Saccharomyces cerevisiae S288C: one gene and its partner. Changing the gene in region 1 together with any one later gene gives a genetic interaction. Each region holds a gene or a part of one and is shown in the gene's direction. Other genes may lie near its edges.

Region 1 (5,154 bases):
TCTTTGTTCAACTTTGCGATAGCAGAGTCTACTGGTAAACACTTTTTTGAACTGGCACGACGTAAGATATATTCTTTGAATACATCATAATATAAAGAAACGTGTTTGTGACGATACTTTTCCTCTGAAAAACTTAGAAATGGCAAGTTTTCCTGGAAAAATTCTAAAAGATGTTGACCGGTCAACCCAAAGTTATCAATATTCGATATTTTCTGGTCCTTTAACTTTTCCCAATCAGTTAATGAAGGATTTCTTCCCCTACTGGAAAACAAAGCACAGACAGCAATAACGTATCCAATAAGAATAGTTAGACACCCTTTCAGTCCTAACATCGCTTAACTAAACCGAGGTACTTATCTTTGTTGGTCTTATCTCGAGTCATATTTTATGCCTATCCGGCGATTTATCACTCGGAAGTTTGGATAGTTTCGGATTATAAAAGGAGACAAGATAAGGATTTTAAAACAGGCCATTGGCAAAAGAACAACATTTTATTGAATGAATATATGAATTGGGCTGTCCTTTGAAGAGGATATGACAAAAAGTGATTTATTATTTGATAAATTCAACGACAAACATGGAAAGTTTCTAGTTTTTTTTGGTACCTTTGTAGATACCCCTAAATTAGGAGAGCTGAGAATCAGAGAGAAAACATCTGTTGGAGTTCTCAACGGAATCATCAGGTTTGTGAACAGAAATTCACTCGATCCTGTCAAAGATTGTTTAGATCACGATAGTAGCTTATCACCAGAGGATGTCACGGTGGTTGACATAATTGGAAAAGACAAGACTCGAAATAACAGCTTTTATTTTCCAGGTTTTGTTGACACGCATAACCATGTCTCGCAATATCCAAATGTCGGCGTATTTGGGAATTCTACCCTGCTGGATTGGCTAGAGAAGTATACCTTCCCCATAGAAGCCGCACTAGCAAACGAAAATATTGCGAGAGAAGTTTACAATAAGGTAATAAGTAAGACGCTTTCTCACGGTACAACGACTGTGGCTTACTATAATACCATTGATCTCAAGTCCACTAAGCTCTTGGCTCAACTAAGCTCCTTATTGGGGCAGCGTGTTCTTGTTGGAAAAGTGTGCATGGATACCAATGGTCCCGAGTATTATATTGAAGATACTAAAACTTCCTTTGAAAGCACTGTGAAAGTTGTTAAGTACATACGGGAAACCATTTGTGATCCCCTCGTAAATCCTATAGTGACACCAAGGTTCGCGCCCTCTTGTTCTAGAGAACTAATGCAACAGTTGTCCAAGCTAGTCAAGGATGAAAACATACACGTTCAAACCCACTTGTCGGAAAATAAGGAGGAGATACAGTGGGTTCAAGATTTATTTCCCGAATGTGAGAGCTATACTGATGTATACGACAAATATGGGCTGCTCACAGAAAAAACAGTATTGGCACATTGTATTCATCTAACAGATGCCGAAGCGCGTGTGATTAAACAGCGTCGCTGTGGTATATCTCATTGTCCCATTTCCAACTCCTCTCTGACTTCTGGAGAGTGTAGGGTTCGATGGTTGCTGGACCAGGGCATAAAGGTTGGTCTAGGCACCGACGTTTCAGCCGGTCATTCTTGTAGCATACTCACCACCGGAAGGCAGGCCTTTGCAGTTTCAAGGCATTTGGCAATGAGAGAAACTGATCATGCAAAACTTTCAGTCTCCGAGTGCCTATTTCTTGCTACAATGGGCGGAGCACAAGTCTTGCGTATGGATGAGACCTTGGGGACTTTTGACGTCGGTAAGCAGTTTGACGCTCAAATGATCGATACCAATGCTCCCGGCTCAAACGTGGATATGTTTCATTGGCAGCTAAAGGAGAAGGATCAAATGCAAGAGCAAGAGCAAGAGCAAGGGCAAGACCCTTATAAGAACCCACCGCTGCTTACTAATGAAGACATAATCGCAAAATGGTTCTTTAACGGTGATGATCGCAACACCACTAAAGTTTGGGTAGCCGGCCAGCAAGTCTACCAGATTTAGTTGTATATGTTTAGAGGGCTACTATATCTTGTTCCAAGTATTAATGAGTAATTTGAGTATATGTACAAATTTCTTTTGCGTATCGCGCTTTAGCCGCCCATTGTACAATATTAAGATTAGGAACACAAAGAGATTTGCCAGTGAAAGAATTGCAAAACTCGGTTTGGGATTTTGAATGGGATAGTTGAATACAACAAACTTCTCCGAATATGAATCATTGGTTAGCATTTTTGAATAAGCCTGAATCCCTAAAGGAACAAAACTCGGATTGCGACCAGCAGGGGGAGATGAGACATGTTACTGATGGCACTTTAACTAAGTCTCCAGAAAGTAAACCTTTTCGAGAGCGGCGTTCACAAACTTGGATAGACTCTGAAGTACCTACGTCCACTGAAAAATCTAATGTGCAGGAAAGTATTTCTTCTGATATTATATCAAAACTGTCGAATAGGCGTTCCCGAAGAAACCGCTCAGAGAGTTGGGCAGGTTCAGAAGCCTCTTCACCTTCTGGTAACATTAGTACATTGGAAAATGCTACGGAAAAAAATACTTTAAAATCGCCTAATAAATTTCTACAAAGGGGTGGTTTACCAACTGTAGGAATAGGCTCGCAGGCTCTGTCACCTGCAGGAAAGCCCAGTACATTAGGAAATGTAAGCCCTGGTAAATTTACCACATACAAAGTACACAATAGTATTGAAGTGAATAGATTTTCTTCTACACCTACAAAGCTCCTCACGAATCCCCACAAAGTCGCAGCAATCTCAAATGATGAGCATTATGTTGTAAGCAATGAGAGTCTGGAGGAGAATATAGAGGTTGCGCATCTAGAGAACGTATTTCGCTCATCTAAAACTCCAGATGAAGAACAGTCCGAATATATGAAATTAGGAGAAATTAGGCTATCTTCTTCATCATATGGAGGAAGTATTTCTAAAGAAAATAGTTTACCCAAGGTATTAGATGAGCTCCAGTCCCAAAATGAAGAGATCAAAGCACTAAGACAAAAACTAGAAGAGAAGGATGACAGGATTCAAGAACTAGAAGAACTTAATAGCATGAATGATGCTAAACTTCAAAGAATAGAAGACTTGCAGAAGGAATTCCACAACGAAAGAAAAGCTGCATCAAAAAGGCTCAACATTGTTCAGGACCGGTTTCGCAAAGAAATTAAAAAAATTAGAGAAGAAAAAATTACAGACTTTCAAAACAAAAACGCTAGCAAGAAGGAGAAGAATGAAGTGACTAGTGCCAAAACTAAATGTAAAGCTTTTTCTCAAAGAAATATTTTAGTTTCGGAACTATACAGGAAGCAAAAACAAATCCTAAACTTGCAGCAAGAAAATGATAAATTTCTAAAAGATATTAACGAATCGAATAACTCTATAGTAAAATTAAGATCTGAAGTTGAAATACTGAAAAGCAATTTGCAACTTTCTCAAGATGAAAATAAAAAATTACATGATAATGGTTCGTTTTACGAGAAAAGGTTAAATGATGTTTACAGCTATATGCAAAATCTTTCTCTTTTTGAGAAAGACCTTGGTAAATTCATACTAGAAGAAATGAAATGTGGCCATTCCCCTTCGATGTTTCAAAACGGTTTTGCCAAGCTTTATCCGGATTTTCAAGATATCAAAAATCTTGAAAATATGGAGCAATACAAACAATTAAAAGGAAAGATAGAACTTTTGGAAAAGAATGACCGTATACGTCTTGAAAAAATCATTTCTGTCTTTAAATTGATTAATGAAAGATTACATTTTATGCAACAGCAGCACAGTCACAAAATAAAATATCTTCAAAAAGAGGCGTTAACAAAAGAACAACAATTTCGTTTGGAAAAAAGGAGATGGCATGATATCCTGAACCTCAAGGAAGAAAACTTTCAAAAACTGAAGAGCGAGTTAAAAGAAAAATTAATACTAAGTGAAAAAATTCAGAAAAATGCCGAAGATAAATTGAACGATTACATGAATGAACACCAGGAAATTGTTGAGAAACTTCAGAATCAGGCTTTGATTGCTTCAAGATGGAGCACTCAAATTCAAGAGTCAGAAAACACACATAAGAAAATTACTGACGAGTTAGCTGGAAAACAAAGTGAAATATTAAAACTCGAAGAAACAATTCTATCACTAAAAGAAGATGTATTCCAAGAGAAGCTGAATTTAAAAAAACTATATGGTGATCCTTCTACCGAACTTAATTTTGAAACTGTTGGAAAATCTTTTCCACATATAACGAAGGAAAAGTACGACTCCTTGGGTCTTGATATTCTGACAGACCTTACCTATGTGCAATCGCAAAATCTAATCAAAAATTTATTAATTGTGTTGGATATCCCATTAAAAACCTTCTTAAAAATTGTACCAACAATTGTCATTCAACTTAGATGTGAGCTTACACTTCTCACAAAATTTGCTAATGATTTGAACCTTAAGGTTTTTGGTAAACAGTTAGATTTCAAAAGTAGAAGAAAGGTCGCAATGAATGAGTTTTTGAACAATCATGATATTGCTGAAGTAAAGCATCCTCTTGAGTATGATTTGCAAGCGTTGTTTAAATATTTCTTTTCTTAGCTTTTTTTTTTTTATTTAGAACTAATATATTCAATGGTGTCATTAATTATTATTTAGAGAATAAGTTACTGGTGGGGGGTGCACCTAAAATAAAGTCACATAATATAGAGCATGGCAGATATTTTACCGCTGGTATTGCTTTTCCGAAATTTTGGTGGAATATTCTTCTGAAAGATTTCAATTTGCTAACAGACTTCTTAAGCACTTACAAGAACAATGTAACTTCTGATCTGCTGTTGGAGATGTTCTGAGATATAAACAAAATTTACATCAAAAGGCGAGTAATACAATGATACAAATGATTATAAGTACATACTAATGTTACAATTTCTAATTCCATTTTAGTCAGAATATACTATGTTGTATAATAATAAAATAATGTCCATTTCCATAGCATACTGGTAAGATTTTATTGAAATAGGCAAAGAAAAAAGCAAAGAACTCTAATAAGAACGACAAACCTCGAAATCTGAGGGGAAGGAGAAGAAAAAAAGGAAAATGAGGGGAAACTTACAGTTTCTGCCTATTATTTGTTTATTTCACCTTGTATGACCGTTGTGGTCGAATC
Region 2 (4,171 bases), on another chromosome or scaffold:
GGATAAAGCCTCTTTTAACGTTTCATTTAATTGGGATAGATTCGTAAGCATATTCTGGTTAGATTTTTTGATTGAATTGAATTCTGATTCGGGGATGGAGAGGTTTGAGTCATTTAGACTGTTGATGAGATCATTCAAAGAGCCAATGATTTCTTTCAGTTGCGGATCAGAATTTTCTGTTTCAATATTTAGTGGTTCTAATGATAAGATTTTTTTTACTTCAATATTTTCCCTATTAGATCTGCGCGTTTGTGAACTACCAGTTAATCCAGATAATAAATCATTGCTCTTTGCCTTCAAGCCGTCCCAAGAATCTTCTAAAAACAATGTTGGCCTATCGTGATAGTGTTCATATGTTTCTAGTAAATCCTCGGCAAAAGGAACGTTATTAGAGAAAAAGTCACCAAATTTGTCATTTTTTTGCGAATATATGATACCTCCAGCGTAGAAAGCTGTCGCTGACAAAGCAATAGTCCAAAGGGTATTGCGAAATTTGTGCGAAGCCTTTTTTGATGCAACGGTAGTCCCTGTGTTTATGCTGGCTAGACCCCTCCTTAGCACAATTTTTCGTGAGGCAGTAGTTCTTAGCATCATACGAATATTAGTTTTTTAGACTTTTCAATGCGTTCTTATGCCTTTTGTGTTCCTTTACTGTGAATAGCTTCCTCGAGAATAAGAACAGTTTTTAATTTCAGATTATTTTTCACTTTTTTGACAACCCTTAATTCCGATTCCGCACAGAAATCCGTCTTAGAATTTTATTGGTTCAATGAGTCTGCTACACGTCTAAAGTGATTCAATTCTGCTTGTCCACTGCTATGATGCATTGGTTCTTTGCCGACTACGTACTATAAGAAGCCATTTGATGAATCACTATTTTGCAAGTAGTTTCTTCTGTTGTTAGTTTTTTGCAATATTTATTTCTCTTTTTTCTGTAAGAAGTATATGAATCTTACAAAATATTATGAAAACTTTGTTGTATGCTATTGTCATAAGAATGGTTACGGAACGTACGAAAATAGACTTGCTAACTGTTTTTGAGCTGGAACATGTTCCACGCTCCGTGTTTGATGTATAGCATATATTGTATTATGTGCCCGGACGATTGCGTGAAGATGGAAATGCAAGAAAATTACCTCCGGAAACTGATAAGAGATCTTGAGCGTATTTTGATTTGCCTGGCCTTATAGTAAACGGAATCATATCAAGTAGTTGATAAAAAGAAATGTATTGGTTATATTGGATGCTGTGCGGATATGTATTTCGATCTCTATTGAAATGTATGATATTTCTTTGTTTTCGTCAGACACTGAAACCATGAGAAGGACCCAAAAAAAGAGTAAAAGACGTTTGTCATCCAGGATCAATGACGTTACTTGCCTCTCTATAAGCTTAAAGCGCTTAGCGGATGATGGACGTGTGTAATTTGTTACCCGCCTCTCTTTTTTACCTTGTTGTGTCAGTAATTGCATCACCTTTGTCACCACAGAAATGGTAAGAAAATATGGCCATACAGGGCAAAGGAATTTGGCATATCAGTCACTGAAAATAGTCCATAAATTTATTTATTTTTTGTTTTAAAGTGATTACTCGGTAAGGTCTCGAATAGTTAAAAAAAAAATTGACGAGATTTTTTTTTAGCTATGTTTCTGGACTATTCTGGATATGAGGCTCTTACTGAAATCAACTCTTCCTTTGGAAAGTATGTTCTTCTATTGCAACAATTTGAAGGCTGTCGAAGTTTGAAAGATCGGCTTCAAATGCTTAAGGATCTGGGGAGGGAATTTATGATATTCGAGAACTTGAATGTGGAAGATTTCAGAGAATCTAAAAATATGATTCACAGATTTTATACTATGGTTATTTCTTTAAGACAGATTATGGAAATTGGGCCCTTAGTCAGGCGTAGCCCTGCTGTTTTAGTTGTGGAATTCGATTGTCCGGTAGAGGATTGCCTAGATGAACTGGATCCGTTGCATCCATTGAACAGGGCCTTTATATTTATTCATAAACAATGGACCTATTATCATCAATATTATATAGTTGAAAAGGTAAAAAAGGTGATTCTTGATATGGCCCCGGTAAAGGAAGATGATTGGAGCATCCTTCACAAGGTTGTTTATTCAGAAGGTTTTGTCGAAAGACGATATAAAAAGAAGAAATACCTCGGTGATATTTACATTCCACAACCATTAATGAAAAGCAATAAAATCACTACTATCTCAAATTTTTCCCAACTTACCAAAATTTCCAACGTCAGAGTTTACAGATTCAACGCTACAGCAGCGTGTGATCCGCAGAACTTGAACAAAAAAAACTTGAGTATCAAAGAGCTTAAAGATAAAGACCTTCCTAATCTTATTTGGACTTTAGAACCAGAAAAATTCTATGTTGACATGAGACCTTACAAGGAACACGAGGAAAGGAAAAAACGGAGAGAAGAAGAAGCCAAGGTGAGGATGCAAGGTGAGGAACAGGAGAACATTATGATAGAGAGAAAAAAAATGGATAGTATTGAAGTTGAAGCGTCATCAGGATTGAAAAATATCATAAAAACACCTCTCGCTAATAGGGTTGTCAATACTTTTAATAACTGCGCTGCTGTGGTAATAGGCTATGTAACAGAAGTGGATAAAGTAAAGGATGACAATGAAGAGAAAAATAACGACAGACCTAAAATTGCGAACGACGGAATAGCTCAAAAGTCTAGAAGCGAAAGTGAAGATAATGCAGGAACACCGATGGAAAACGCGTACTTTCAACCTGAACCCCAAGATAATGACCAAAACAACATATCTTGGAATACCACTATGAAAGATATTGATCCAATTTACATGAGTGAAAGATGTGCTAGAGTTTGGAGAAAGGAGCAACAAATGCTAGGATTGGAGAAGGCTCAGACATTTGAGAAAAAATATTGTAAAGATCAGATGGTTATGGACGAAAATCAGGTCGAAGAACCTGGTAAGCACTCGGAGAGACATACAAAAAATCAGGTAGTTAGACCTAGGACCAAAATAGCATCTTCCGCCAGTAAAAATGATAATAGTAATAATAAAAATAGTAAATCATGCAAAAATTGCCATAAAGAGGAAGCGCACGGTCTAGTGAGAGAATACCTTAAGATTAAACTCAACATATCACCTCATGGAGAAAGGAATCAGCGAACAAAGGACAAGAGAAAATGTATAATGAAATACAATGCGAGCAGTAACAACATCAACAAAATGCCTGGGGAGAGTGAAGTACTTGGGTCAACTATTTTAACAGATATCCACTTTAAGGATGTCGTAACTGTGAAATTTAGGGATTTTAAAGCCAAATTTAGAAAAGTCAAAATAAACGCTTGATTTGCCAAAAATGCTATAGTCGCATCTAGAAATCATTACCAAAACGTGACGATTAACATAATACATTCAAAAATAAGATAGGATGCATTACATTTCATTATACCGTGGATTGGAACTGAAGATGAAAATTGCAGTAAATAGACAATAATCAGGCCTTATGGTTGTATGTCATATGTATACTCAAGATTTGAACTTTATATCACCTTTATTAGCGCATTAGCGCACATTTTAGGCCCCATTTCGAGGAATGTGGATTTTTGGCAAATCAATGTTTCTAGGTGTCTCTTAGCTTTCTATATAAGGAGTAAGGTATGCTTCTTGATGACATCAACCGTTTACTATACTTTTTTTAGATATTTTGTTTTCTGCGATAAGTATGATGGAAAGTAAACTGGTAATAACGTCAATACGTACTCTCTTGTAATTGTAGTGAAGCACAGTAATTAATATTTAAGCGTTCCCATGTTCAAATGTGTGAAAGGTAGGTAAAATCATTATGTTAAATTTTGAAATCCACATGACCTTGAATTAAATAGGCACATCACGATTGTAAAGGAATGAAATCAATCTGACTCCAAATTACTCAATGTTCTTAACACTATGTGTATCATTGAGACCAAACGGCAACTTCATAGTGTCTTGCTTTCGTGGACAGCGACTACTATTCTGGCCGGACAATTCAGGTTTATAAAGCTCTGCCCCTGCGATATGAAGTTACAATGTTAACATACGGGAGTGAAGGGAACAGGCCCGTTTACCAACTGTCAGTATTAATTATTTGTTAAGTCGCTTCGATATCGAGCTCTGGACATATCTAAATT

The links.
Region 2: of ADY3 (region 1) and YKR015C, changing one enhances a phenotype caused by changing the other (phenotypic enhancement), as found in Saccharomyces cerevisiae (one study listed by BioGRID).

The regions. Positions count from the first base shown.
Region 1 is NC_001136.10:25,835-30,988, reverse strand, and holds ADY3 (Ady3p), read left to right. Parts: upstream 1-2,213; coding exon 2,214-4,586; downstream 4,587-5,154. Other genes in the region: AIM6 (Aim6p), read right to left, coding at 1-332; GUD1 (guanine deaminase), read left to right, coding at 535-2,004; GTPase-activating protein LRG1, read right to left, coding at 5,113-5,154. UniProt on the Saccharomyces cerevisiae protein: Involved in the pathway that organizes the prospore membrane (PSM) during sporulation. Mediates the assembly of the DON1 ring structure at the leading edge of PSM during meiosis II.
Region 2 is NC_001143.9:466,140-470,310, reverse strand, and holds YKR015C (uncharacterized protein), read left to right. Parts: upstream 1-1,643; coding exon 1,644-3,350; downstream 3,351-4,171. Other genes in the region: MIC60 (Mic60p), read right to left, coding at 1-594.